7 linked regions of the Macaca fascicularis genome follow. The protein of the gene in region 4 interacts with the protein of the main gene of each other region in a pairwise test. Links are inferred from orthologs where the notes say so. Each region holds a gene or a part of one and is shown on either strand. Other genes may lie near its edges.

What was found.
Region 1: the proteins of TFIP11 (region 4) and TXLNA interact in binary tests that used the Homo sapiens proteins (3 or more experiments, as listed by UniProt). The two-hybrid records come from large-scale screens. The link is inferred for Macaca fascicularis from reciprocal best matches to the Homo sapiens genes TFIP11 and TXLNA.
Region 2: the proteins of TFIP11 (region 4) and ribosomal RNA-processing protein 7 homolog A interact in binary tests that used the Homo sapiens proteins (3 or more experiments, as listed by UniProt). The link is inferred for Macaca fascicularis from reciprocal best matches to the Homo sapiens genes TFIP11 and RRP7A.
Region 3: the proteins of TFIP11 (region 4) and OIP5 interact in binary tests that used the Homo sapiens proteins (3 or more experiments, as listed by UniProt). The two-hybrid records come from large-scale screens. The link is inferred for Macaca fascicularis from reciprocal best matches to the Homo sapiens genes TFIP11 and OIP5.
Region 5: the proteins of TFIP11 (region 4) and FAM13C interact in binary tests that used the Homo sapiens proteins (3 or more experiments, as listed by UniProt). The two-hybrid records come from large-scale screens. The link is inferred for Macaca fascicularis from reciprocal best matches to the Homo sapiens genes TFIP11 and FAM13C.
Region 6: the proteins of TFIP11 (region 4) and ZSCAN12 interact in binary tests that used the Homo sapiens proteins (3 or more experiments, as listed by UniProt). The two-hybrid records come from large-scale screens. The link is inferred for Macaca fascicularis from reciprocal best matches to the Homo sapiens genes TFIP11 and ZSCAN12.
Region 7: the proteins of TFIP11 (region 4) and SAP30BP interact in binary tests that used the Homo sapiens proteins (3 or more experiments, as listed by UniProt). The two-hybrid records come from large-scale screens. The link is inferred for Macaca fascicularis from reciprocal best matches to the Homo sapiens genes TFIP11 and SAP30BP.

Annotation. Positions count from the first base shown.
Region 1 is NC_088375.1:202,841,963-202,845,462, forward strand, and holds part of TXLNA (alpha-taxilin), read right to left. Parts: intron 1,101-3,500; coding exon 930-1,100; intron 1-929. UniProt on the Homo sapiens protein: May be involved in intracellular vesicle traffic and potentially in calcium-dependent exocytosis in neuroendocrine cells.
Region 2 is NC_088384.1:9,066,975-9,071,253, forward strand, and holds the start of ribosomal RNA-processing protein 7 homolog A, read left to right. Parts: upstream 1-1,479; 5' UTR 1,480-1,489; coding exon 1,490-1,562; intron 1,563-3,110; coding exon 3,111-3,253; intron 3,254-4,279. Other genes in the region: SERHL2 (serine hydrolase-like protein 2), read right to left, coding at 627-749, 1,100-1,223. UniProt on the Homo sapiens protein: Nucleolar protein that is involved in ribosomal RNA (rRNA) processing. Also plays a role in primary cilia resorption, and cell cycle progression in neurogenesis and neocortex development.
Region 3 is NC_088381.1:17,877,052-17,880,551, forward strand, and holds part of OIP5 (protein Mis18-beta), read right to left. Parts: intron 1,364-3,500; coding exon 1,241-1,363; intron 1-1,240. UniProt on the Homo sapiens protein: Required for recruitment of CENPA to centromeres and normal chromosome segregation during mitosis.
Region 4 is NC_088384.1:25,179,325-25,182,824, forward strand, and holds part of TFIP11 (tuftelin-interacting protein 11), read left to right. Parts: intron 1-1,983; coding exon 1,984-2,111; intron 2,112-3,500. UniProt on the Homo sapiens protein: Involved in pre-mRNA splicing, specifically in spliceosome disassembly during late-stage splicing events. Intron turnover seems to proceed through reactions in two lariat-intron associated complexes termed Intron Large (IL) and Intron Small (IS).
Region 5 is NC_088383.1:87,376,320-87,378,560, reverse strand, and holds the end of FAM13C (protein FAM13C), read right to left. Parts: intron 2,106-2,241; coding exon 1,982-2,105; 3' UTR 501-1,981; downstream 1-500.
Region 6 is NC_088378.1:144,782,104-144,786,098, forward strand, and holds the start of ZSCAN12 (zinc finger and SCAN domain-containing protein 12), read left to right. Parts: upstream 1-1,195; 5' UTR 1,196-1,391; intron 1,392-2,125; 5' UTR 2,126-2,193; coding exon 2,194-2,595; intron 2,596-3,995. UniProt on the Homo sapiens protein: May be involved in transcriptional regulation.
Region 7 is NC_088390.1:82,109,014-82,112,011, forward strand, and holds part of SAP30BP (SAP30-binding protein), read left to right. Parts: intron 1-165; coding exon 166-217; intron 218-1,123; coding exon 1,124-1,182; intron 1,183-1,937; coding exon 1,938-2,018; intron 2,019-2,331; coding exon 2,332-2,416; intron 2,417-2,685; coding exon 2,686-2,867; 3' UTR 2,868-2,998. UniProt on the Homo sapiens protein: Plays a role in transcriptional repression by promoting histone deacetylase activity, leading to deacetylation of histone H3.

The sequences.
Region 1 (3,500 bases), on a different chromosome or scaffold from region 4:
AGCAGCATTCTCTAACGTAAGGTATTATTGAGAAAGTGTATTTCTTTTTTTTTTTTTTTGAGACGGAGTCTTGCTTTTTTTGAGACGGAGTCAGGCTGGAGAGCAGTTGGCACGATCTCGGCTCACTGCAAGCTCCGCCTCCCAGGTTCACGCCATTCTCCTGCCTCAGCCTCCCGAGTAGCTAGGGACTACAGGCGCCCACCACCACACCCGGCTAATTTTTTTTTTTATTTTCGGTAGAGACGGGGTTTCACTGTGTTAGCCAGGATGGTCTCCATCTCCTGACCTCGTGATCCACCCGCCTCGGCCTCCCAAAGTGCTGGGATTATAGGTGTGAGCCACCACGCCCGGCCGAGAAAGTGTATTTCTATGCCACAAGTCTGCATTTTTTTTTTTTTTTTTTTTTGACACCAAGTCTCACTCTGTTGCCCAGGCTGTAATGCAGTGGTGCAATCTTGGCTCACTGCAACCTCAGCCTCTCGGGTGCAAGCAATTCTCGTGCCTCAGCCATCTAAGTAGCTGGGATTATAGGCATGTGCCAGCACACTTGGCTATTTTTTGTATTTTTAGTAGAATGGGGTTTCTTTTTCCAGGTTGGTCCCAAACTCCTGGCCTCAAGTGATCCATCCACCTCAGCCTCCCAAAGTGTTGCGATTATAGGCGTAAGCCACCATGCCCAGCCTTGCTTTTTTACACTGATTCCATGTGGAAATTGTAATGTTTTGGATGTTGGGTTAAATATATTACTAAAATTAATTTCACCTGTTTCTTTTTACTTTTTAGAGTGGCCAGAAGATTTTTAATCACTTATGTGGGCCACTGCACCCAGGCCTAGCCTCCATTACTTTTTAAGAGGAAAGCCCATGAAAGAAACATTAAGTGGAAGTCAAGGAAATCAGAGTCACCTGTTCCAGGGGGCCCAGGCCTACCTTGAGGGAGCGGTTGTGCCGCTGCAGCTCACGGCATAGGCTCTCAAGCTTGCTACGGGCCAGGACGGCCTTACTGTGCTCACCACGCAGATGGTCCTTCTCTTGCACCAGCTGGCTCTGCTTCTTCTGCAGGAGCTTCATCTGCTTCTGTGAGTTCCGGTGCTCCTCCAGCTGGGGACAGGGATAGGGAGGGCAGGTGAGCATCCTGTGAGGCCTTCCTGGTGGGGATCACTATTCGGGTCTAGGCTCTCCTGAGCTGCCCTGAACCGCACCGTTTCAGACCAGGAGTGCTCTCATGGGCTGATGCTGTGCTGTTGCTTACACACTCCTCCCATGAACTGACACTAACCCCGAAGCCTCCACCATAGGGACAGAGAAATGGACACTCACTAGGGCAAGCAGGGGCCACGCAGCCAGCAGATGCCAATTCCTATTCCAGCTCTGACGCTGGGCCACTAGAGCCACTTCAAGCTGTTGCATTTCCCCAATTTGCTGGACACTCATGCCCAAGGATGAGACCACCTGCTACCCTACCTTGTGCCTATTAACAGACCCCCATTGCTCCCTTACATTCCTTCAAAACGTTAGCACTGGGTTCATCAGCACTCTCCCCAGCACAATTACTTTTCTCATTTGTGGCCACTTCAGTATCAACAGATAATCCTTCTGACTCCCTGGTCTCCCAGTCCTTCAGTTCTTCCACAAACTCACTCCTTTCTCCAGCTCAGTTCCCCTCCCATGACCCTATCCAGGCCTATACAACAGAAATATAATGCAAACCACATAAATAATTAAAAATATTCTACTGGCCACACTGAAAAAGTAAAAAACAGGTGAAATTAATTTTAGTAATATATTTATTGTAACCCAATATCCAAAACATTACAATTTCAACACGGAATCAATGTAAAAAAGGGAGGCCGGGAGCGGTGGCTCACACCTGTAATCCCAGCACTTTGGGAGGCCGAGGCAGGCAGATCACTTGAGGTCAGGAGTTCAAGACCAGCCTGGCCAACACGGTGAAACCCCGTTTCTACTAAAAAAAATACAAAAAAGCAGCCAGTTTGGTGGCACATGCCTGTAATCCCAGCTACTTGGGAGGCTGTGAGGCAGGAGAATCGTTTGAACCTAGGAGCAGGACATCACGCCACTGTATTCCAGCCTGGGTGACTGAGACACTATCTAACAAAAAAAGAAGTGAGATGTTTTATATTCTTTGTTTTTGCTTAAGTCTTCAAAATCTGATGTCTATCTTACATTTACAGCACATTCAAATTCAGACTGGCCACATGTCAATTAGCTAGAGACGAATTTATCTTGGACAGCGCAGATCTAGACTTTGTCACTACCAGACAGCACACCCACTATCTCAATTTCCAGCACCCCAGGCCAGGACTACCATCACCTATCTTTTTAGCTCATTCCAATCAATATCTGTGATCCTCAGAAAATCTCTTACCCTATAAGGACCTCCAATCCATTGACTCAACCATCCTTCCACTCTCCTTTAAAATAACCACTTACCTTATTACCTGGCTTAGATTTCTTACACCCTCAACTCTCTTGGCCCTTCCCCAGTAATACTGCAACCCTAGTAAAGCACCTTCCTGCTTTACACCAGTACTGAAACAACCCTACTTGAAGAGTCTCAATTTTTTTTTTTTTTGAGATGGAGTCTCGCTCTGTCGCCCAGGCTGGAGTGCAGTGGCGCAATCTCGGCTCACTGCAAGCTCCGCCTCCCGGGTTCATGCCATTCTCCTGCCTCAGCCTCCCGAGTAGCTGGGACTACAGGCGCCCGCCCCTGCGCCCGGCTAATTTTTTCTATTTTTAGTAGAGACGGGGTTTCACCATGGTCTCGATCTCCTGACCTTGTGATCCGCCCACCTCGGCCTCCCAAAGTGCTGGGATTACAGGCGTGAGCCACCACGCCCGGCCGAAGAGTCTCACTTTAAATTCACGGCCACCAATTTCAGGAAAAGCAGCAATCTCAACACAATGCACATGCTATTCACACTCCTCTCCTTCCAGACAACTATTCATCGTCCTCATCAAATCTCAAAACACAGAAGAAACCAGAGAATCAGGGGCAGAAGCTCCACATCTGCCAGTACACCTGCCCCATCCTCTCCTCCAGTCACACAGACCTAGCCATATGGTTACCACAGCCAAGCCCCCTTCTTAGGCACTGGGCCTCAGGTCCCCTCCTCTACTCACACCACCACTCCAACAACTCATTTCCTCTCTTGCATCAGCAATTTTCCCCTGGCTGGATCACTCTAAAAGGGTGCTTATCTTCCTTACACCTTTTATTTAATCCTTACAAGAATGTCATTAGGCAGGTATGACATTCCCCATTTTACAGATGAGTAAAGTTCCCTACAGGAAAATATTAATAAATGTGTGTGGAATGAATTAATTTTAACATAAATACTTAAGAGGCTGGGCGCAGTAGCTCACGCCTGTATCCCAGCACTTTGGGAGGCCGAGACGGGCAGATCACGAGGTCAAGAGATTGAGACCATCCTGGCCAACATGGTCAACCCTGTCTCTACTGAAATATACAAAATTTAG
Region 2 (4,279 bases), about 16 Mb from region 4:
CATCACTGGGCAATCGGCATGGCCATCCTCTGAGGCCAGGGTATAAGAGAGCAAATAGGACTGGAGCTGGACTTGGAAGGGTCAGCAGGAGATAGGATTTCAGAGAGCAGAGGTTCGGTTGATGTGACTGTCAGAACAGGAGCAAGGCCAGAGTGGCTGCCAGGGAGCCTGGATGCATAGGAGTCTCTGGTGAAGGCTAGTGGACCACGGTATTCCCAGGGGCCACAGCAGCCCTGACACTGCTTGACTGCTCTAAGCAAAGAAAGATCAAAAAGAAAAAACAAGCAAACAGGACAGTAATGGCAGCTGCTGATGGAAAATCCCAACCCCTCACCCAGTTTCCAGGCCTAAGCTAGGCCTCAGACCCGGAGGTCACTGACTGAAAGGGAGGCTGGGTCCCCTCGAGACCACAAAGATTTGCAGTAATAGTCTCCTAATTTTCCCCAGAAGGGCCGGCAGCATTTCCAAGAAGCAACTGTACACTGGGAGAAGAGAAATAGTAGATATATCAAGGGCTGGTGGGTACATGGTCTGAGAGGCCCTTTGGAGTCCAGATAAGTGGAGTCCTTGGACTTCTTTTCTCCCCTGTCTACACTTGCTCCCTTGGCGATCACACCGTCTCCTACCTTTTTCTCTTCTCTTCTCTTCTCTTCTCTTCTCTTCTTTTCTTTTCTTTTCTGACGAAGTCTTTCTCTGTTGCCCAGGCTGGAGTGCAGTGGGGCGATCTGGTTCCCTGCAATCTCCGCCTCCTGGGTTCAAGCGATTTTCCTGTCTCAACCTTCCGAGTATTTGGAATTATAGGCATGCGCTACCACACCCGGCTAATTTTTGTACGTAGTAGAGACGTGGTTTCACCAAGTTGGCCAGGCTGGTCTGTAATTCCTGACCTCAAGTGATCTGCCCCCCTCGGCCTCCCAAATTGCTGGGATTACAGGCATGAATCACCGCACCCGGCCCCTCTCATAACTTTCAGTAACCTATCCACGGCCAGTCCCAGGTGTATTGCTCCAGGCCTGACACCTCTGATGTTCAGTCTGTTCAGTCTCATATCAAACTGCCCACCTGACATCTCCCCTGAGAGACCTAATGGGCGTCTCACCATGGCCCACAGAGAACTGATCCACTCGATTTTCCCCAAGCTGGCCCCTCTCCTGCAGTCTCCCCATCTCAGTCAATGGCAACACCATCCTCTTAGTTGCCTCGACTGAAAACCTAGCAGCCATCCTGGATTTCTCTCACAGTGCCTATTCAATGTGTGAATGCATGAGTGGAAAGCTGAGTTCGCACTCGTGACTGGCCGGGGTCAACGCTGACGTTCCCTCCCACTTCCGCGCGCTGATTTGACTCTGAGCTGATGAAGGTTGGGCCCTGGCGGGCGGGGCCGGAGAGGCGGGCCTGGAGCCAGGGGGCGGGACAGACGCCACGGAAACGCGATCGCGCCGGCGCCGAACCACAACTCCCGGCGGCCCCTGCGCTCCCGGGCGGCAAGATGGTGGCGCGCAGGAGGAAGCGCGCGGCGCGGGACCCGGAGGACTGTATCCCCAGCCCACCGGGCTACGCAGGTGAGGGGCTCCGGGACGCGAGACCGGGGGGGCCAGGCATCGCCGGGAGGTGTTTGGGGGTTGGCGGCGGCCGGGGGTCCCCAGGAGCGGCCGCACGGTTGGGTGTGAGCTCCGGCGGCCTCTGGCCCCAGCTTCGGAGTCCCGAGGACCCACGCGGCGCCCTTCTGCCTGCCCACTCTCTCGGGGCGAGCCTGTCTTGGTCCACGCTTCCCTTGGGTGAGCCCACCACTGTGCACCTCTCACCCAGGGCAAACCCATTTCCGTCCACATTCGCTCGTCCAGGTGAGCCCATCCCCTTCTCATCGCCTCTGCTTCTAGTCCAGCCCCCATCAGCTCTTACTGGGCTGTTACGGGCCCTCCTACTTGGTTGCCCTCCTCTTTCTCTTGCCCCTGCTTCTGTTCTCCACCCACGTACCAGAATGTTCTTTTTAAGGCCATTTAAGTTAGAGCATGTCTCACACGCCCACGATAGGCCCCACACCCACTGCATTCCTTCCAGTAGCTTCATCAAGTCGCTTCTAAAACAAAAAGCAGACTTCTTAACCTGTGTGGGCCACATGGTCTGACTGGTGCTGACCTAAAGCTCTTTCTGTTCATCTGAGGCAACATGCTTTTTCCCCCTCTGGGTTTTTGCACTTGCTGTAACAGTTTGTTGCACAGTGGCGTTTCTGTTCTGAGCTTTAATGTTGCTTCCTCAAAGAGGCCATCCCTGAGAGCCTATGGAAAGAAGACCTCTGCCACCCCATGACCCTGTAATGTTTCTTTCATAATTGATACAAGCTTGCTGTATGCTTACTTGGTAATTGTCTTCTCCGTTATTGCAACTGAGCTTCCTGAGTTCAGGGACCGCAGCTCTATGCCAACCGGTAGTCTGACGGAGGTGTGAGAAAAATAGAAGCAGTTCCTAGCTTTATGAGATTACAGTCATGGGTGTGGCAGTGATTAACCAAAGAATCTCATCAGTATAGCCTACAGACTGTTAAGAGAAGCTGTGAAGGCACAGGCAGTGGGGTCTGACCTGGCAGGAGGGGCGGAGGGTGATGCTAAGGCTCTCTTGAGGAAGCGAGGTTTGAGCTAAACCTGAAGGTTAGCAGGAGGGAAGAGGGTGATGCACTAGGTAGAGAGGCCAGTGTGTGTGAGGCCCTGGTGTACCCAGGGGAACAGGGAGAATCCAAGGTGGTGGGGAAGATGGTACGAGAAGAGGCCACAGTGGCAGGCAGGGTCTCACGGAGCTTCTAGCCACGGTTAGGATTTTGGTGTTCACTCCAAGAGCCGCAGGGTTCGAGCTTCCCTTTCATTGCGCCCCCATCTGTAATCATTGCCCATTTATCTTCTCTTTCCCTGCACCACCTTGGGAGGCCCTCCTGGGCAGACTCTTAGAGCCCGCACAGGCTTTGCCAAAGGGTAGGGTCGGGGGGTTGGTGAAGGGATGGATGGATTGATGAGCAGATAGGACTAGACAGGGATGTGGAGAAAGGAAGTGTGAATGTCTTGCTGACCTCAGCTCAGGGTAGCCTGGCCATCCCTCCCCTCCCATTTCCTTTCCAGCTATTCCAATCAAGTTCTCTGAAAAGCAGCAGGCTTCTCACTACCTCTATGTGAGAGCACATGGCGTTCGACAAGGCACCAAGTCCACCTGGCCTCAGAAGAGGACTCTTTTTGTCCTCAATGTGCCCCCATACTGCACAGAGGTGAGCTAGTGTCTGGGAGGGGACCTGTGGGCTCTAGGTGGGGGCTCCCTTGGCCTCCACCAAGTCCTTGGTGGTGAGACGGACACAGCTAATGGGAGCCCTAGAGGAGAGTGTCCAGAGGGCTACCTTGATCTCCAGTCAGGAAACGGGTTTTTCAAAGATGTCTTTAAAAGTATAATCCTGCCAGGCATGGTGGCTCATGCCTGTAATCCCAGCACTTTGGGAGGCTGAGGCCGGTGGATCACCTGAAGTCAGGAGTTCAAGACCAGCCTGGCCAACATGGTGAAACCCTGTCTCTACTAAAAAACAAAAAATTAGCCAGGCATGATGGCGTGTGCAGGTAGTCTTGGCTACTCGGGAAGCTGAGGGATGAGAATCCCTTGAACCCGGGAGGTGGAGGTTACAGTGAGTCGAGATTGCGCCACTGCATTCCAGTCTAGGTGACAGAGTGAGACTCCATCTCAAAAAAACCCCAAAAAACCCCCAAAATTAGCCGGACATGGTGGCACACGCCTGTAATCCCAACTGCTTGGGAGACTGAGGCACAAGAACTGCTTGAACCTGGTAGGCGGAGGTTGCAGTGAGCCAAGATCGCGCCATTGCACCCAAGCCTGGGCAACAGTGTGAGACTCTGACTCAAACAAAAAAAAGGAAAAAAAAGTGTAATCCTAAGTAGCCCAAGGTTTTTTTACGTATTACCCGAAGTTGTTTGAATTACGTGTTTTCTTTGAGACTATACGTGTCCATAATTTGAAAGTAGGAAAGTATAAAAAAATGAAAAGTGCCTCTAATTTTATCCAAACACAACTGTTAATTTTTTTTTTTTTTTTTTTTTTTTTTTACAAAAACTAAACTAAGGGAATTGCTGGATTTTTTTTTTTTTTTTTTTTTTTTTTGAGACAGACAGAGTCTCCCTCTGTTGCTCAGGCTAGAGCACAGCGATCGTGGCTCACTGTGACTTCCGCTTCCCAGGTTCGAGCTGTTCTCCTGCCGCAGCCTCCCGAGCAGCTGGAATTACAGGTGCCC
Region 3 (3,500 bases), on a different chromosome or scaffold from region 4:
CTCCCAAAGTGCTGGGATTACAGGCGTGAGCCACTGCGCCTGGTCATACAATGTTCTTTTTATTTATTTTTTTTTTTTAAGGGGGCAGTTTGAGATAGGAGGCTTCACTATGTTGCCTAGGCTGATCTCAAACACCTTCAAGATTCAAGGGATCCTCCTGCCTCAGCCTCCTGGGTAACTAGAATTATAGGCACACACTACCACATCTGGCAAAAAGTTTATTTAATGAAAGACTACCCTCTGAATTCTTCCATGGATGCTTCTTAAGATGTGGTATAAGAAGACATGGAAGATAATCATAATGTTATAAGATTATATTTTGGTCCCACTGCTATCTTTTTATTTTTTTTAAGAGATGGAGTCTCATTTTGTCACCCAAAATGGAATGCAGTGGTGTGATCACAGCAAACTGTAACCTTGAACTCTTGGGCTCATGTGATCCTCCCACCTCAGCCTCCCAAGTAACTGGGACTACAGGGGCAGGCCACCACCACATCCAGCTAATTTTTTTTTATTTTGTATAAAAAAATAGGGGTCTCACTATATTGCCCATGGAGGTCTTGAACTCCTGCCCTTAAGCAGTCCTCCCACCTTGGCCTCACAAAGCACTGGCATTACAGGCGTGAGCCATCACACTTGGCCCACTGCTATCTTTTTGTCAAAGACAGTGCCTGACTTTAGCATCTTCTTTGGTACAAACGCTTTGTCTTTTTTTTTTTTTTTTTTTTTTTTGAGGCAGAGTCTTGCTCTGTCACCCAGGCTGGGGTATAGTGGCACGATCTCAGCTCACGGTGCAACCTCCACCTTTCAGGTTGAAGCAATTCTCCTGCCTCAGCCTCCCAAGTAGTTGGACAGAATCTCACTCTGTCTCTCAGACTGGAGTGCAGCGGCGCAATCTCGGCTCACAGCAGCCTCCGCCTCCCAGGTTCCAACAATTCTCATGCCTCGGCCTCCTAAGCAGCTGGGATTACAGGTGTCTACCACACCTGGCTAATTTTGGTATTTTTAGTAGAGACGGGTTTCACCATGTTGGCCAGGCTGGTCTCCAACTCCTGACCTCAAGTGATCCACCCGCCTCAGCTTCCCAAAGTGCTGGAATTACAGGCATGAGCCACTGTGCTCAGCCCACTTTCTCTTTCCTGAAAAATCTTTTAAAATTTATTTGATGGACTTTGTCTCTAAATAAATAAATAAATAAATAAATAAGTGTATTTGATGATCAATATCTAAGTCTACTCACCACACCATTTTGTCACTGGAAAGGCAGAAGTGACCTCTCAAGGCAGCCAGGGCAGCATGGGTAGAATACAGATGGAAACCAATGGGAATCCCACAGGAACCACAGAATAAAAGGTTGTAAGTACTAGGAGTAGGGAAAAACAGAATATGGGTAAGAATAAAAAAATCGGCCGGGCGTGGTGGCTCAAGCCTGTAATCCCAGCACTTTGGGAGGCCGAGACGGGCGGATCACAAGGTCAGGAGATCGAGACCAGCCTGGCTAATACGGTGAAACCCCGTCTCTACTAAAAAAAAAATACAAAAAACTAGCCGGGTGAGGTGGCGGGCGCCTGTAGTCCCAGCTACTCGGGAGGCTGAGGCAGGAGAATGGCGTAGACCCGGGAGGCGGAGCTTGCAGTGAGCTGAGATGCGGCCACTGCACTCCAGCCTGGGCGACAGAGCGAGACTCTGTCTCAAAAAAAAAAAAAAAAAAAAGAATAAAAAAATCATGTAAGAAATAAAAAATAACTAGTCTCTGAAGCATTCCTAACACCTAAGTCAGGGTGAAAATTATATTGTAATAGGAATGAGACTGAAAGAATATCACATTCAAGAAAGGGTAATTCACGTTATAATTTAATTACATGCTGGATTGCGGATACCCTCTTATATTCTGGTCAAAGCAGTCATGGATGTATAATTGTCACTTCAGTAGAGAAAGGTAACTTACCCCTAATAAACAGAAAAAGAGCTAACTAATCTGATTAATACTAAAACATTTAAAACTACAAATCACCGTGTAAAATGGCTATCATTATATAAATTCACATTTGTTGAAAAAATAATCATGTTGACTGGGGCTTTACTAAACAAATTGTTCATAGAACTAAAGATTTGTCTTTTGCATATATAAAAAAAAGTTAATGAAAAAATGCCCAGACTAAAAGAGAAAGAAAAAGGAATCCCATTACCCTAGCAAGCCATCTATTTTGCTTTCCTTATCCTCTGAAAAGATTACTGATGAAGAGTCAGATGTTGATTTTAGTTCTCATTACAATTCTTGAGCAAGTCATCATATTTGCTGGTATATAAGACATATTTAAATATTAAACAGGAACATTTTGGTCAGGCACAGTGGTTCACACCTACTGTAATCGCAGCACTTTCAGAGGCCAAAGTGGGCAGATAGCTAGAGCCCAGGAATTCAAGATCAGCCTAGGCAACATGGTAAAACCCCGTCTTAAAAAATAAATAAACAGCCCAGGCACGGTGGCTCACGCTTGTAATCCCAGTACTTTGGGAGGCCGAGGCTGGCAGATCACGAGGTCAGGAGATCAAGACCATCCTGGCTAACATGGTGAAATCCCGTCTCTATTAAAAATATTTAAAAATAGCTAGGTGTGGTGGCGGGCGCCTGTAGTCCCAGCTACTCGGGAGGCTGAGGCAGGAGAATGGTGTGAACCCAAGAGGCGGAGCTTGCAGTGAACCGAGATAGTGCCACTGCACTCCAGCCTGGGCAACAAAGCAACACTCCGTCTCAAAATAAAATTAAAAATTTTTCTTTTTTTTTTTTTTTTTTTGAGACGGAGTCTCGCTCTGTCGCCCAGGCTGGAGTGCAGTGGCGCGATCTCGGCTCACTGCAAGCTCCGCCTCCTGGGTTTACGCCATTCTCCTGCCTCAGCCTCCCGAGTAGCTGGGACTACAGGCGCCCGCCACCGCGCCCGGCTAATTTTTTGTATTTTTAGTAGAGACGGGGTTTCACCGTGGTCTCGATCTCCTGACCTTGTGATCCGCCCGCCTCGGCCTCCCAAAGTGCTGGGATTACAGGCGTGAGCCACCGCGCCCGGCCAAAAAAATTTTCTAAAAGAAAAGCACTTTAAGAAAGTATTTCATCATGCATGTGCTAAAGGCAATTTTAAAGTGCTTTGGTAAAGGAAAAATTAATTATATTAATATAGAGTATGCTATGAAGAATTTTTTTTTTTTTTTAAGACAGGTTCTTGTTCTGTTGCCCAGGTCAGAACATAGTGGTACAATCATAGCTCCCTGCAGCCTTGAATTCCTGGGCTCAACTGATCCACCTGCCTCAGCTTCCCAAAGCTGGGATTACAGGTGCATGCTACCATGCCCTACTAATTTTTTTTGGAAGAAATGGGGTCTTACTTCCCAGGCTAGCAGAATTCTATTAACAAAATACAACATAAAAATCACATAGCTAGCCCGGGCATGATGGCTTATGCCTGTAATCCCAGCACTTTGGGAGGCCAAGGCAGGTGGATCAC
Region 4 (3,500 bases):
TTGCGGTGAGCCCAGATCACACCACTGCACTCCAGCCTGGGCAATAGAGTGAGACTCAGTCTCTAAATAAATAAATAAATAAATAAATAGAATAAATAAAGACAAAAATGAATTAGTTGCTAATATTTAAAAAACAGACAATTTCACCTAAAATTCTAGATTTTGCCTGGCAGTAGTTAGTTGAGGCAAGTGAGAGCTGCTCCTGGGACAATGGACATGGTCTTCTCTTGGAGGCAGTCTCCACGGCCCCCTGTTGTCTTCCACCCCAACCCACAGGAACTTTTGTTGGTCCTGAAGTCATTTGAGTTTGCCATCCCTACTCACAAGGGTTTTAGTTTTGCAGAAACGGTTATTTGTCCTTCAGGAATATCAGTAAAACATTGTGTGTAGCTTTTTTAATAATTAGAGCCATATGGCTGTAAAATTGGCTGAGCAAATCCTTCATTGGTTACTTCCATCTTCGTCTAGTAGCCCAGTCTCCTCCTGTCTTCTCATGGCCAGCCTCACTGAGACACAGCCCCTGTCACACTCTTATCTTCTTGAGACCAAAGCCTCTCAAACCAAACACTTGGATTCTTCCTACAAGAACATTTCCCCTTCTCTTGAGCTATATCCTATGCATGATTGCCAAGTAGATATAATCAAATGTGTCTTCCATATTCAAATTTGAGTCTCTAAATAATAATAATATTATTTTTTGAGACACAGTTTCACTCTTGTCGCTCAGACTGGAGTTCTATGGCACGATCTTGACTCACCTGCAACCGCTGCCTCCTGGTTCAAGCGATTTTCCTGCCTCAGCCTCCCGAGTAGCAGGGATTACAGGCAGCCGCCACCACACCCAGCTAATTTTTGTATTTTTGGTAGAGACGGGGTTTTACCATGTTGGCCAGGCTGGTCTCAAACTCCTGACCTCAAGTGATCCACCCTCCTTGGCCTCCCAAAGTGCTGGGATTATAGGTGTGAGCCACTGCGCCCGGCCTCTAAATAATTATTAAAATGAAATCCAGGTTATGTGTTGAAAACATTAGGTACATGAAAAATACATGAACTTAAGCAAGGATACGCTGAATGAGAATGAGGGGACAGCTTTTTTCCTTTTTTTGATACAAGGTCTCACTCTGTTACCTAGGGTGGAGTGCAGTGGCATGGCATGATCATAGCCTACTGCAGTCTCAACCTCCTGGGCTCAAGCCTGCCGAGTAGCTGGGACGACAGGCACACTCTGCTATGCCTGGCTAATTTTTTCTTTTTTTGTAGATGGGGTCTTACTATGTTGCCCAGGCTGGTTCAAGACCTTGGCCTCCCAAAGTGCTAGGATTACAAGCATGAGCCACCATGCCTGGCCCAGGGATAGCTCTTATTTGAGACTTCAACTGTACTAAATGGAAGGGAGGCAGGGATGGAAAATTTGGAGGGGGGGGCAACATCTTCATTGAAATGTTGTGGTCCTATTCGTAAACTCTTTTATGAGAAAAGCAACATTTATTTCTAGGGCTTAAACTTGTTATAAAAAAGTTAAACATAGGAGATAGGAACTCCTAAGTAAAATACATGAGGAGTCTTATATTAAATTACAGCTTCACTTCAGTCAGAGTCAATATAGTATCTGAATTATTGCATTTTCCCTAATAGAGGCTTCCAAAGAAGTGAAGTGTAGAATTTAGTATGCTGGAGTTCTCGGTTATAAATGTAGTGTTCTGTTTTCTTGTCCACTGAAACAATCCAAGTAGAAATGGAAATCTATTTGGGATATAAATAAACCAGTCAGCAGACTGTCCTGTGGTAGCATAAATGCTCATAAGTTTCAAATCACAAGGGACAAGAGTAGTGTTCTGAGGGCAGAGAATAGCTCTCCTTGAGTACCGTGTTATTTTGTGGAAGGAGCAAGAAACTGTCATTTCACTGAGTGGCTGATTCACATACATGAATTGCTGTGATCATAAGACTGTCTTTTTTTTATCTTTTGCTGAAATTCCTCAGGTATCATTAACCCAATCGAAGCCAAGCAGAGAAAGGGAAAAGGTGCTGTGGGGGCTTATGGATCCGAGCGCACCACGCAGTCAATGCAAGACTTCCCTGTGGTTGACTCAGAGGAAGAAGCTGAAGAGGTAACTGGAAGTCAGGAGACATGGGTGGGTGGTGTCCTGTCCATTTCTAATGGCTGTTCATTTATCCCTTCATTCTGTTAGTCCTCAGATGTTTATTGTACACGTACCATATGCCAGGTGCTGGGCTGAAGGCTAGGTGCACCATGATGAGAGGGCGCACGGTGGACAGAGAGTAAACAAGCAGCTATGGTGTGGAAGTGGCAGTTGAAATGGCAGAAGGTGCTAGGACCTGCCTAGACAGAAAATAAGGTTGGGGGTTGGGAGGTGGTGTTGACCTACTTTTATAAATAGGCTGGTCAGGGAAACCTTTGAGGAAAGGAAACATTTCAGTTGAGACTTGGCAGAAGGGTGAGCTGAGAAGCCTGAGGACACTGAGAGGCTCTGAGCTTGCCGGTTAAGAAACCATAAAGGAAGCCGTTGTGGTGGGAGGGTGGTACACAAAGCAGAGGGGAAGGAAGTGCATTCAGAGGGGTAGGCGGGCCACAAGATGGGCCTTGACAGCCATTTTTAGGTGCTTGGGTTTCATCCCAAGTGCAGCAGGGAGCCATCTGCTGGCAGCTGTGTGTCCCTTTTCCCCAGTGATAGAAGGGGCCAGCTTTGTTGATTGAAGTATTACTCTTTTCCCATTTGAATCTATGGGGGAAAGCAGGATGCTGCAAAGAAACACGTTACTCTTCTTGTCACTGACCTTTTGATGACACAGTCATTTGATAATGTGGGATTGACCGCTCTGAGTCAGGGGTTCTCAGACTTAGAAGCCTACAGGTGCCAGGCACACCACAGAAGCAAGTAAGATGAGCCAGATGCTAGACAATAAAGAGTGGTGGGGACTGTGGCACAGAGGTGAGGCCTTAGCCTGTCTAGAAGGTAAATCTTTATTCAGCTCTAGGTGATTGTTGCTTATGAGGATGTGGGCTTAGTATTGCCTGATCCTCTGATTTTCCCAAAGTAGCCAGATGTGTAGATACTTTTAGAGAAAAAAATGACAAGTCTTAACCAGTATGAGAAAAACATAATGACAACTCCAAAACCAACTTCTGTGGGCTGGATTCCACTACCATCATGCTAAGAAAGTTTACAAATTTGCGTTGGGCCGCATTCAAAGCCGTCCTGGGCTGCGGGTTGGACAAGCTTGCCGTAGCTCCTCCTGTAGCTACGGCAGGTACATTTTGCAGACCCTGATTATAAGAGATACCTTTGCTTTGAGAGTTAGGACCTGCTTATTTATCTTCATTTTAAAGTGAGAAACAAGATATTGTGTACTTAAAAAATCGTTTACATTGCATTTCTAAGTTTTACATGAGGTACATTTAAACTAGTATAGTGCCTGCCCATAGTAGATGCTCAATACATGTTGTTTCCTTTATTTTTGTTTCTCCCTCCCGTCTG
Region 5 (2,241 bases), on a different chromosome or scaffold from region 4:
TTCCTCCATTAGGAGCATTGGTCCTGTTGTCCATTTTCATCACCAGATGTTTTCCACTGAAGCATGCACATGCCACTGTCACCAAAAACGAACTACCACTTTCCAAATTCCATTCAGAGCCATTTTAGTGTTTTCCTATTCCCTACCCCTCCCACTACTTTCAATGATGAAATACCCTAAGTTCTCCTTCTGACACTTTATTGCCTAGATGCTGCAATGTTTTTATGTTTCCTTTATGCCAAACATAACAAAACAGTTATATAGACCGCTTTAGCAAAGTACACAATAATGGCTTATAAATGGTGTTTAAATATGCATTCATTTTAATCTACTGAACAAATATTGGGATAACTCCAAACCGCATGAAAGGGTGTAATTGCAGCATGAGTTAAATCTTGAAGCCTAGAATTGTCAGCACTTCCAACTTCTTGTTTGACAGTGTTATTTATGTTATTTATATTAGCTAACAGGAAACAACTACTGTGTTTCAACATAATAAATATAATAGAAAAATATTTTATTTGTATTGTTGTATAAAATATTTACAATCATATAGAATATATAGAGTTACATTTTAATAGCAATTGTGTACATGTCACGAAACCATTTCCCTTATCAAAGATGTAATTTGTAAACCTCAAATAGTTGTGTATCTGTCCTGTTACAAGTAGATGACTTCAATTAAACAAATGTATGAAGGACATTATTCTGATTCATAAAAGTTATAAAATATTAGGTAAATACAGAGAAAACAATAAGCCTCTGAAATAGTCTGTTTCTGAAATAGTCAATAGTCTTCCCATCCAAACTATAAGAAAATGTGAATTTCTTCAACATCATACTTAAATGTTACAGAAAATAGAAATACAAACAAGGTTGGTACATGAGGGAAAATGTTGACCTTTTACTTCCTTTTACAAAAATGAAAATAATAAACATGTTTTAGTATAAAATAACACAAAATGATATACACTAAAGTTGATGAAGCAAATAAATATTCTGGCTTCTTTTTCAAGGTATCAGGGCAATTTCCAAACCTTTCATTTTGTACAGAAGGAAGAATAACTACAGCTCATGGGAAATGTTTTGACTTTACAAAGTATAGATGTTGGAACATTAAGAAAAATGTATATTCCCAATGAAAAAATAGTTATATCGTCTTATAGTAAACAAAAAGATTAGCAATAATACTATGGACATATTAGATTATATACTGCAGACACATATCTATCCAAAATACCTATTTTAAATTTTTAATACAATATTTTATTTTAATATAAACATCTGTCAGTTATAGACAAAGATAATAATTCACAAAGTACATGCTATCAGAATGAACTTTGGTAACCAGAAATGTAAAATTTCAAATACCAGATAAAATAATGTGTTATTTTTATAGAGAAATAAAAAAAATAGCAGTAACACAATCTAGGTTATTTTAGGGTACTGAGAGCCTAGCAGACTTAAGGGACAAGGTAGTAAATGTTTTATCACTCAAAAATCCATTAGAAGTTTCAAATAAATTACTTTCTTGCTAGGTACATTCCTTCCTACTTGAAAAGCAGAATTTCTTTTCCTCCTCTGATTGATTTTTAAAAATCATGCTCTTTTCCATACATCAACATAAACAATCTTTGGATACTAAATAAACTTTCCCTAACAAGCATCCTAGCTATGTTATTTAGATTTGATAAAATATTAGACATTTTTTAAAATACTTGTATTGACTATGAGTTTTCTGCTTGGCATGGAGGACACTGAATTTTTTCCCAATTATAAGGCTACCTGTTGTATCCTTCCCCCCATTTAAATCCCTTCTCCTTGTATATAATTAAACTTGCTATTCCTTCTTGAAAACAGCTAATACTACCACTAAAGTGCTTCCATTTTCATTGTGTCAAAACTACTTAGCAAGGATGGCAGAGGAAAATAAACTTTACTTTATATCATGGGTGAAAGTGATCATAACATTTCCTGAACCTCAAATAGTTTTGGCCACATCTTGCTTGCTGATGAGGACCTCTAATAGTCTCAGTTTGGCTTTTATGTGCTTATATTCGTAATACTCATCTGCCATTGGTATCCTATCTTCCTTTTGTGGACTTCTGCAAAACAAAAATACATTTATTAGTTCACAATGAATCAAGTCATTATTAAATATTCTTTTATAATTCATACATGAGAAAGTATACTGTGACAGCTTCCACTTGGTTTTTGCATCATGTCTTCTTTTCCTTCCCT
Region 6 (3,995 bases), on a different chromosome or scaffold from region 4:
TTTATCTCTATTGTGATGTGTGGTGGGAAATACAAATCCAGTTTTACCTTTGACAAATGGTTGTCATCCCAGCACAACTTCTAAGTTCTTCATTTCTCTGTTGACATGTGGTGTCCCCTTCATCATTTACTCAATATCCTTACATACCTGGATCTATTTCTGGTCTATTCTTTCTCTCTGTTAATACAATAAAATCATATGGGTATGTTCCAGTATCTGATAAGGCTGACCCTCACCATTGTTCTTTTTCATGGGTTTCCTGGCTATTCTTATTTTCCCACTTGAACTTTATAATCAGTTTATCTAATTCCAGAACAATATTTGTTGATATTTTTGTTGGAATACTAGAGTTGCATACGTATTTAGGGAGGATTGACCTCTTTGAGTCTTTCTAAGAACCGCATATTGCTTTGTTTGTTTAAATGTACATCTGGCCTTTTAGGAGCTTTTTAAAGCTTTCTCCATAGAAGTTTTGTTCATTTCTTGTTAAGTTTATTCCTAGTTTCAATTTTTTGTTGCTATTGTAAATATAGTCTTCTCTTCCATTATATCTCGTAACTCGTTATCATTGATTATTCACATATATGAAGGCCATTGATTTTAGTGTGTTAACTTTATATCTTGCTAATTTACTAAATTATCCTTTTTTTTTTTAATAGTTTTTCCATTGAACCGGGTTTTCTGACATATAATCATACATCGGCGCATAAAAGAGAACATCAAGAGGATCGTGGATGGCGAAATAGCCGGCAGAAACCAGCCCGCTGGCCCTTGAGAAGTCTGTGTGGAAGAAATCCCTACGCCACCGCTAAGCGCGGATTTGGGAAGCTCCCCGGCAGAAGGTCCCCCGAGAACATCCCTTTGAGGCATCTCTAACCTCAGAGACACAGAATCCCAAAGTGAATGGAGACGCAAGGGATTTCCCTGTCTTAAGATCAGTTCTACAAGCCTTGACCACCCATCGGGCCGGGGGAAGTGTGGACAATGGCTGAGTAAAGAAGAGGAGAAAGATAAACCCGTTCCGTTTACCCGCGGGTCTGAGAGCCATCATCACCCTTCCTCTCACGTAGACGCGCGGAAACACTACTACCGAGTTGAAAGCCCCTTTCGCCCCCTTCCTAGAGCGGCCGCGGAAGTGCGCCCCACGCGGGTTGGTTCTCAGCCCTCCCGTGGCCGCTTCCGGCCTTTGTGGGTCACTTTTGATGGGTTCCGGGTCCCAAAAGGGTTCGAGGCCTTTAGGGGGGAGTTCTCTTCTGGCCCGGGGGGGCCGCAGGTGAGCGATGTTGTGCTCTGTATGCTGCGAGGAGGTGGGCGGAAGATTGCTGTATTCTAGTTGCTGGGCCCCTCGGCTCTGGCCGGTGCAGAATGGACCCTGGTCCTCCCAAACCCAGGTGGATCCGCGGGAAGCTCTCCCTCCCCAAAGTGCGCTGGGAGACTAGGATGAGGGATCGGCTCCCAGTCTGCAGCAATTCCGTGCTGTAAGGCCCATACCTACCTTCCGCGTTTGCCTCGGCGTTGTATCCTTGGGTTCAGCGCGTACCGACATTTCTAGACAGTGGTGGTTCACAGACGCTGGCCGGCGTCCCAGGGCCTTCCTCACTTCAGATTATAATCACAGACCATGAGGATAGAGGGAAGGCTTAAAGAGTAACCTCTTCAGCCTTCTCACTTTATAAATGAAGAATAAGGAGCGGAAAGTTTAAGTCCCTGAGGAAATAAATTTACATGACTTTGTTGCTTTTGTGATTTCATGGTTTCTACCAGACATCTGGATATTCAAAAGATAAAAGTAACTAATCAAGGATGTCCTAACCTTTTATCATTATTGTTTACTTGATCTAAATGTTAGTTTTATTCCATTTGCCTTTCATTTAGGACCAAATGAGAATAAGTTTACTAACAAGTCTTACTCTTCTTCTTAAAGTCCTGAAACAACTTGGCACCTTTCCTTAGTCTTTCTCTTTAAATTGGTCTAATCTTAAGTCTTTTCTATCAGAGTATTTTTCTGAGTAAGTATCGTACATTAACCTGGAGGCCAGATTTCAAAGATCATAGTTAAGTTCTCAGAATTTGCAGTTTTACTTTATGGTGGAGTTTGTGTTAATAATGATGGCTTATTCCTCAGGACTGTCCAGGAATAAATTTTCCAGGGGAGATCTTACTTGAAACACCGGTAGTTCTGGCACAGCTAAAATGGCATCTACTTGGGCTATCCAGGCCCACATGGACCAGGATGAACGTTTGGAAGTAAAGATAGAGGAGAAGAAGTATACCACCAGACAGGATTGGGACCTGCATAAAAACAACACCCATAGCAGAGAGGTCTTCCGTCAGTACTTCAGACAGTTCTGCTACCAGGAGACGTCTGGTCCCCGTGAGGCTTTGAGCCGACTCCGAGAACTTTGCCATCAGTGGCTGAGGCCAGAGACCCACACCAAAGAACAGATTCTGGAGCTGCTGGTGCTGGAGCAGTTCCTGACCATCCTACCTGAGGAGCTCCAGGCCTGGGTGCAGGAGCAGCATCCAGAGAGTGGCGAGGAGGTGGTGACTGTGCTGGAGGATTTAGAGAGAGAATTGGATGAGCCAGGAGAGCAGGTGAGAAAAAAGAGGTGACTTCTGTTTGAGAAAAGATAAATTGTGGATTTCTAGGCCAGAGTGAAGAACAGCCATTTTTTCACAAAGCATGTTTTTTGACAGTTTGATGCATCAGAAAGGGGCATGAGTTTCAGGGAAAGTTGGCTAATGTGGTCCCAACTTATTTATAACTTTTCTGTGGAAGGATTTTATATTTCTCTATTAAGCTACAAAATTCTGTTTGATAAATATGCTGCTCATCTTAGAAAACTTCTAAGACAAGAGAAGGTATCAGAGAGATGAAAGTAGCAGGATGGGAAGCAGTCTCTTGGAGGGGCATCACTCTGTTGCACAATACAAATAATTAAGAATTAAGGTTTTGCAGATATATCCATTGCTCTGACTCCATTACAGGGTTTTAAAATGGAAAAATTAACTATTTCAGGGGAATGAGATGTGGGAGTACAATGGAAAGTTAGTGAGGAGAGCAGGGTGGGGTTCTGTGTTTCTTTGAGTAGTAGAAAGCCCAGTTAGGCTGGAAAGGTGAATTCTGAGTAGAAGAGTTGAGATAGTGTCCAGGACCTTGAATCTCAACCTCTGGAATTGAGATTTTATTCTGTAGACAGACGCCCCTAACCTTTTCTTCTTGAGTCTAAATGAGCTTTACTAATTGTAAGATGTAAAAGAGAACCAAATTATATAGAACTTTTTTGTTTTGTTTTTAATACTAAAATGAGACAGTGGTTGTCAACCAGTGCCAATTTTGTGCCCCAGAGGGCATTGGCAATGTCTTGGGACATTTTTGGTTGTTATAACTCAGGGAGGTGCTCCTAGTATCTAGTGGGTAGAGAGGACAAGGCTAATGCTAAGCCTCTTACAACACACAGAACAGCCCCAGACAACAGAGAATTATCTAAACCAACATGTCAGTAGAGCCAACACTAGGAAACCCTGATATAAAGAGTTTGAAACTTAGGGAAATAATGAAATGGAAGTATAATCTAACACTGTGATACAAAATACAATAGAGAGGGTAGGAACATGTGGCAAAAAGATCTAAGTTTGAAATAAGATCACGAGGCCAGGCGCAGTGACTCATGCCTGTAATCCTAGCACTTTGGAAGGTCGAGGGAGGTGGATCACCTGAGGTCAGGAGTTCAAGGCCAGCCTGGGCAACATGGTGAAACCCCGTATCTACTAAAAATACAGAAATCAGCCGGGCATGGCGGCACGTGCCTGTAATCCCAGCTACTTGGGAGGCTGAAGCAGGAGAATCACTTGAACCTAGGAGGCAGAGGTTGCAGTGAGCCAAGATTGTGCCACTGTACCCCAGCCTGGGCAACAGAGTGAGACTCTGCTTAAAAAAAAAAAAAGAAACAGGATCATGAAAGTGTGATTACCAAGGATGAAGCATATCTTAG
Region 7 (2,998 bases), on a different chromosome or scaffold from region 4:
CCAGCTGCCCCTTGGCTAGAGACCAGGGATGACAGCCGAGCCCCAGGTAAGGGGACCCCAGACCAGGAAGCTCTGTGGAAAGACTCAGGCAAGGAACTTGGGTTTCTGAGTCATTTGTCATATGACGGTTCCTACTAACTGCAACTTTCGCCTTTTCCTTTGCAGGATATGTTTGATCCCCATGGCTGGTCTGAGGACTCCTACTATGAGGCATTAGGTAGCCTTTCATCCCTCCTCCCATATACCTCGTCCGCCCACCCAACTGTCCCTTTATCCAGTCAGTTGGTTATCCAGGCAACACGTATTTCAGGGTCTCCTTTACGTCAGGCCATGTTCAAGGGGCTGGGTACAGGCCTGAATGAGACAGACCCACCCCTGCCTTAAGAGGCTTATGCCACAGCAAAGAAGATGCCAGTAATGCATCACGCCAGTAATGCCAGCATCGATGAAGTGTTGGTGATGACAGAGTTGCTGGGTACAGGGGAGCTTTGGCAAGCAGGGTCATCTAATCTGGCCAAAGGGATGGGAAGGTCTCACTGACAAAACTGTGTTCCAGCTGAGGTTTGAAGAGGCAGAGGGGCCAGGCAGGTGCAGGCAGAATGTTCCGAGGCCAGTGAGAGGGTGGCTTATTCTTAAGGTACCAGTTTGGGAGAACTGGGAGGAATGTCAAAGGGCCCAACCCCTAGACCATAGGTCTTGAGCCTGTAGCCCATGGCCCAGATCTTGGCCTGTAGAGGTGCTTTGTTTGGCCTTCATGAATGTTACTGTCTTTTATTTTGAATTCATTGCCAACATTTTACATAATAATCTCTGATTCCAGCTTCTCTCAGTCAGTAGCAAGGTAGTCCCCATTGGGCCTGTATTTCCGTGTGCGGCAGTCCACAGGAGCTCAGGAGTAGCTGACCCTTCCAGACACAGACACGGGGCATGCAGCCCTCCAGTCTGGAGCTGAAGGCCCCTGCCCTACGCCAAGCAAGGGCTGGCTTCATTTTGCCTAGCACGAAGAACACTGAGCCCATGAAGACCTTTAGCCCACTGAAAAGAACGCAGGGATCAGAGTCGGCTCCCTCAGCCCAGAGCTGCTCAGGGGCCGCCTTTGTAACAGCTTCTCTTGTCTTCATAGCCAAGGCCCAGAAGATTGAGATGGACAAATTGGAAAAGGCCAAAAAGGAGCGAACGAAAGTAAGTGATGGCAGACCTCCTAGATGGAAAAGGCAGATGTGAAGTGCATGGGTCCTGCTGGCTGAGCCCAGAGGTTGTCCAGGCTGCCCCCCGCCCTGGCCCCATGTCAGGGCACAGGCCCTGCTCTGGGTTTGCGGTGCTCGCCTGCTGCCTTGCCCTTGGAGTCTTGCTTGCTGCGTTGTGACCCCCTTCCTCCCCTCAATTGCAGAACCTTGGGAGGCTTTGTCTATTTTGGGTCGTGGGTGCCCTCTGTGGCCTGAAGGGAGGGAAGTAATTCCCTAAGAGAGTGCCGGGCCCAGCTTGCTCTGCTCAGTGAGTTTCTTGGCCTCCAGAGCTGCCCTCGGTGGCCCGCCTGGTTGCTACCTATTAGGTCCCATGTTAGGGCCCTGAGCGCCACTTGTTCCCCAGCAGTGTGGTCTGGGTTCTTCAGGGAGCATCAGTTTGGCTGTGAGACCAAAGTGTTATCTCTGGGCCTTGTTCCCTTTGTGACCAGTCTCGGAGCCAGGCATCAGGACACCAGCTCCTCCCACGTCTGGCTCGGCCTGACCATCCTCAAGTAGCTGCGGCCTCCAGACTGCTTCCCTCACCCCAGGCAGAGGGGCTCTGGGGCCTGGGCATGCTGGTGGCCCTCTGGAGTCACTGGCTGCTGGGCCAGGAACGTGGGAGCTGGTGCAAGGGGATAATCGGGGTTTCTCATTCTTAACCCTTGATTGAATCTCCCTTCTCTCTCTTTCCCTCTCCCTTCCAAACCCCAGGCTTGTTGCAGGGACGTGTCTGCAGCGCCTGGGGACCGGAGCTGTCCTTCCCCTGTGCGGGCGGGCGCCGCCTCCTCCTGGGTGTGAGGAGGAGGGGCCTGGCCAAACGGTTCTGGGCATGTGAGGTGGGGCGGTGGGCCGGGGGTGCCGGGCATGTGCAGAGACCTGGTGATGCCGGGAGGGATCCAGTACTGTTTGGAAAGTTCTTTTAAGAGCGAAAAGCCCCTTTGGGTTCTTAGACACCTCACCCTCCCCCAGATGGTCAGAGCAGAGTTCATTTCCAATACCTCTTTTGTGTAGTGCCAAGCTCCTGTCCCCCAGGAGCTGACGGATGGCAAAAGGCTATGGACACCCAGCTTTGCCCAGCCTCATTCTCTTCCCTCTCCCTCTCCAGATTGAGTTTGTGACGGGCACCAAGAAAGGCACCACGACCAACGCCACGGCCACCACCACTACCACTGCCAGCACAGCTGTTGCAGGTAGATTGCAGAGCTGCCCTGCCTCCCTGCCTCCTGCCATACACACGGAGCCAGTGTCTCCCTGGCTAGTTTGGGCAACAGACAACACGTGGATCTAGGCCTAGGCTCAGCCTTGCTCTTTTCTAAGCAGGGACTTTGAGAACCAGCTTTGGAGTCTTGGGGGGGCCCCTTCGGTTTCTGCTCCCTAGGCCCGTGCTGGCCTGCAGGGGAAGGGAAGGAGAGCGCTGCTCATTAGTGGATCGCGATCCTGACTTCTGCTTTATCTCCAGATGCTCAGAAGAGAAAGAGCAAGTGGGACTCGGCTATCCCAGTGACGACGATAGCCCAGCCCACCATCCTCACCACTACAGCCACCCTGCCAGCTGTCGTCACGGTCACCACCAGCGCCAGCGGCTCCAAGACCACCGTCATCTCTGCTGTGGGCACCATTGTGAAGAAGGCCAAGCAGTGACCTGAGGGGCCACCCTAGGACTCGAAAGGACTGTGCAGCCCAGTGACCACTGCCCAGTGGGAGGCGCCACTTTGTATATTTCAGGATTGGGACCTGCTCCCCTGATGCCACCTGAGAGGAGCTTCTATGTG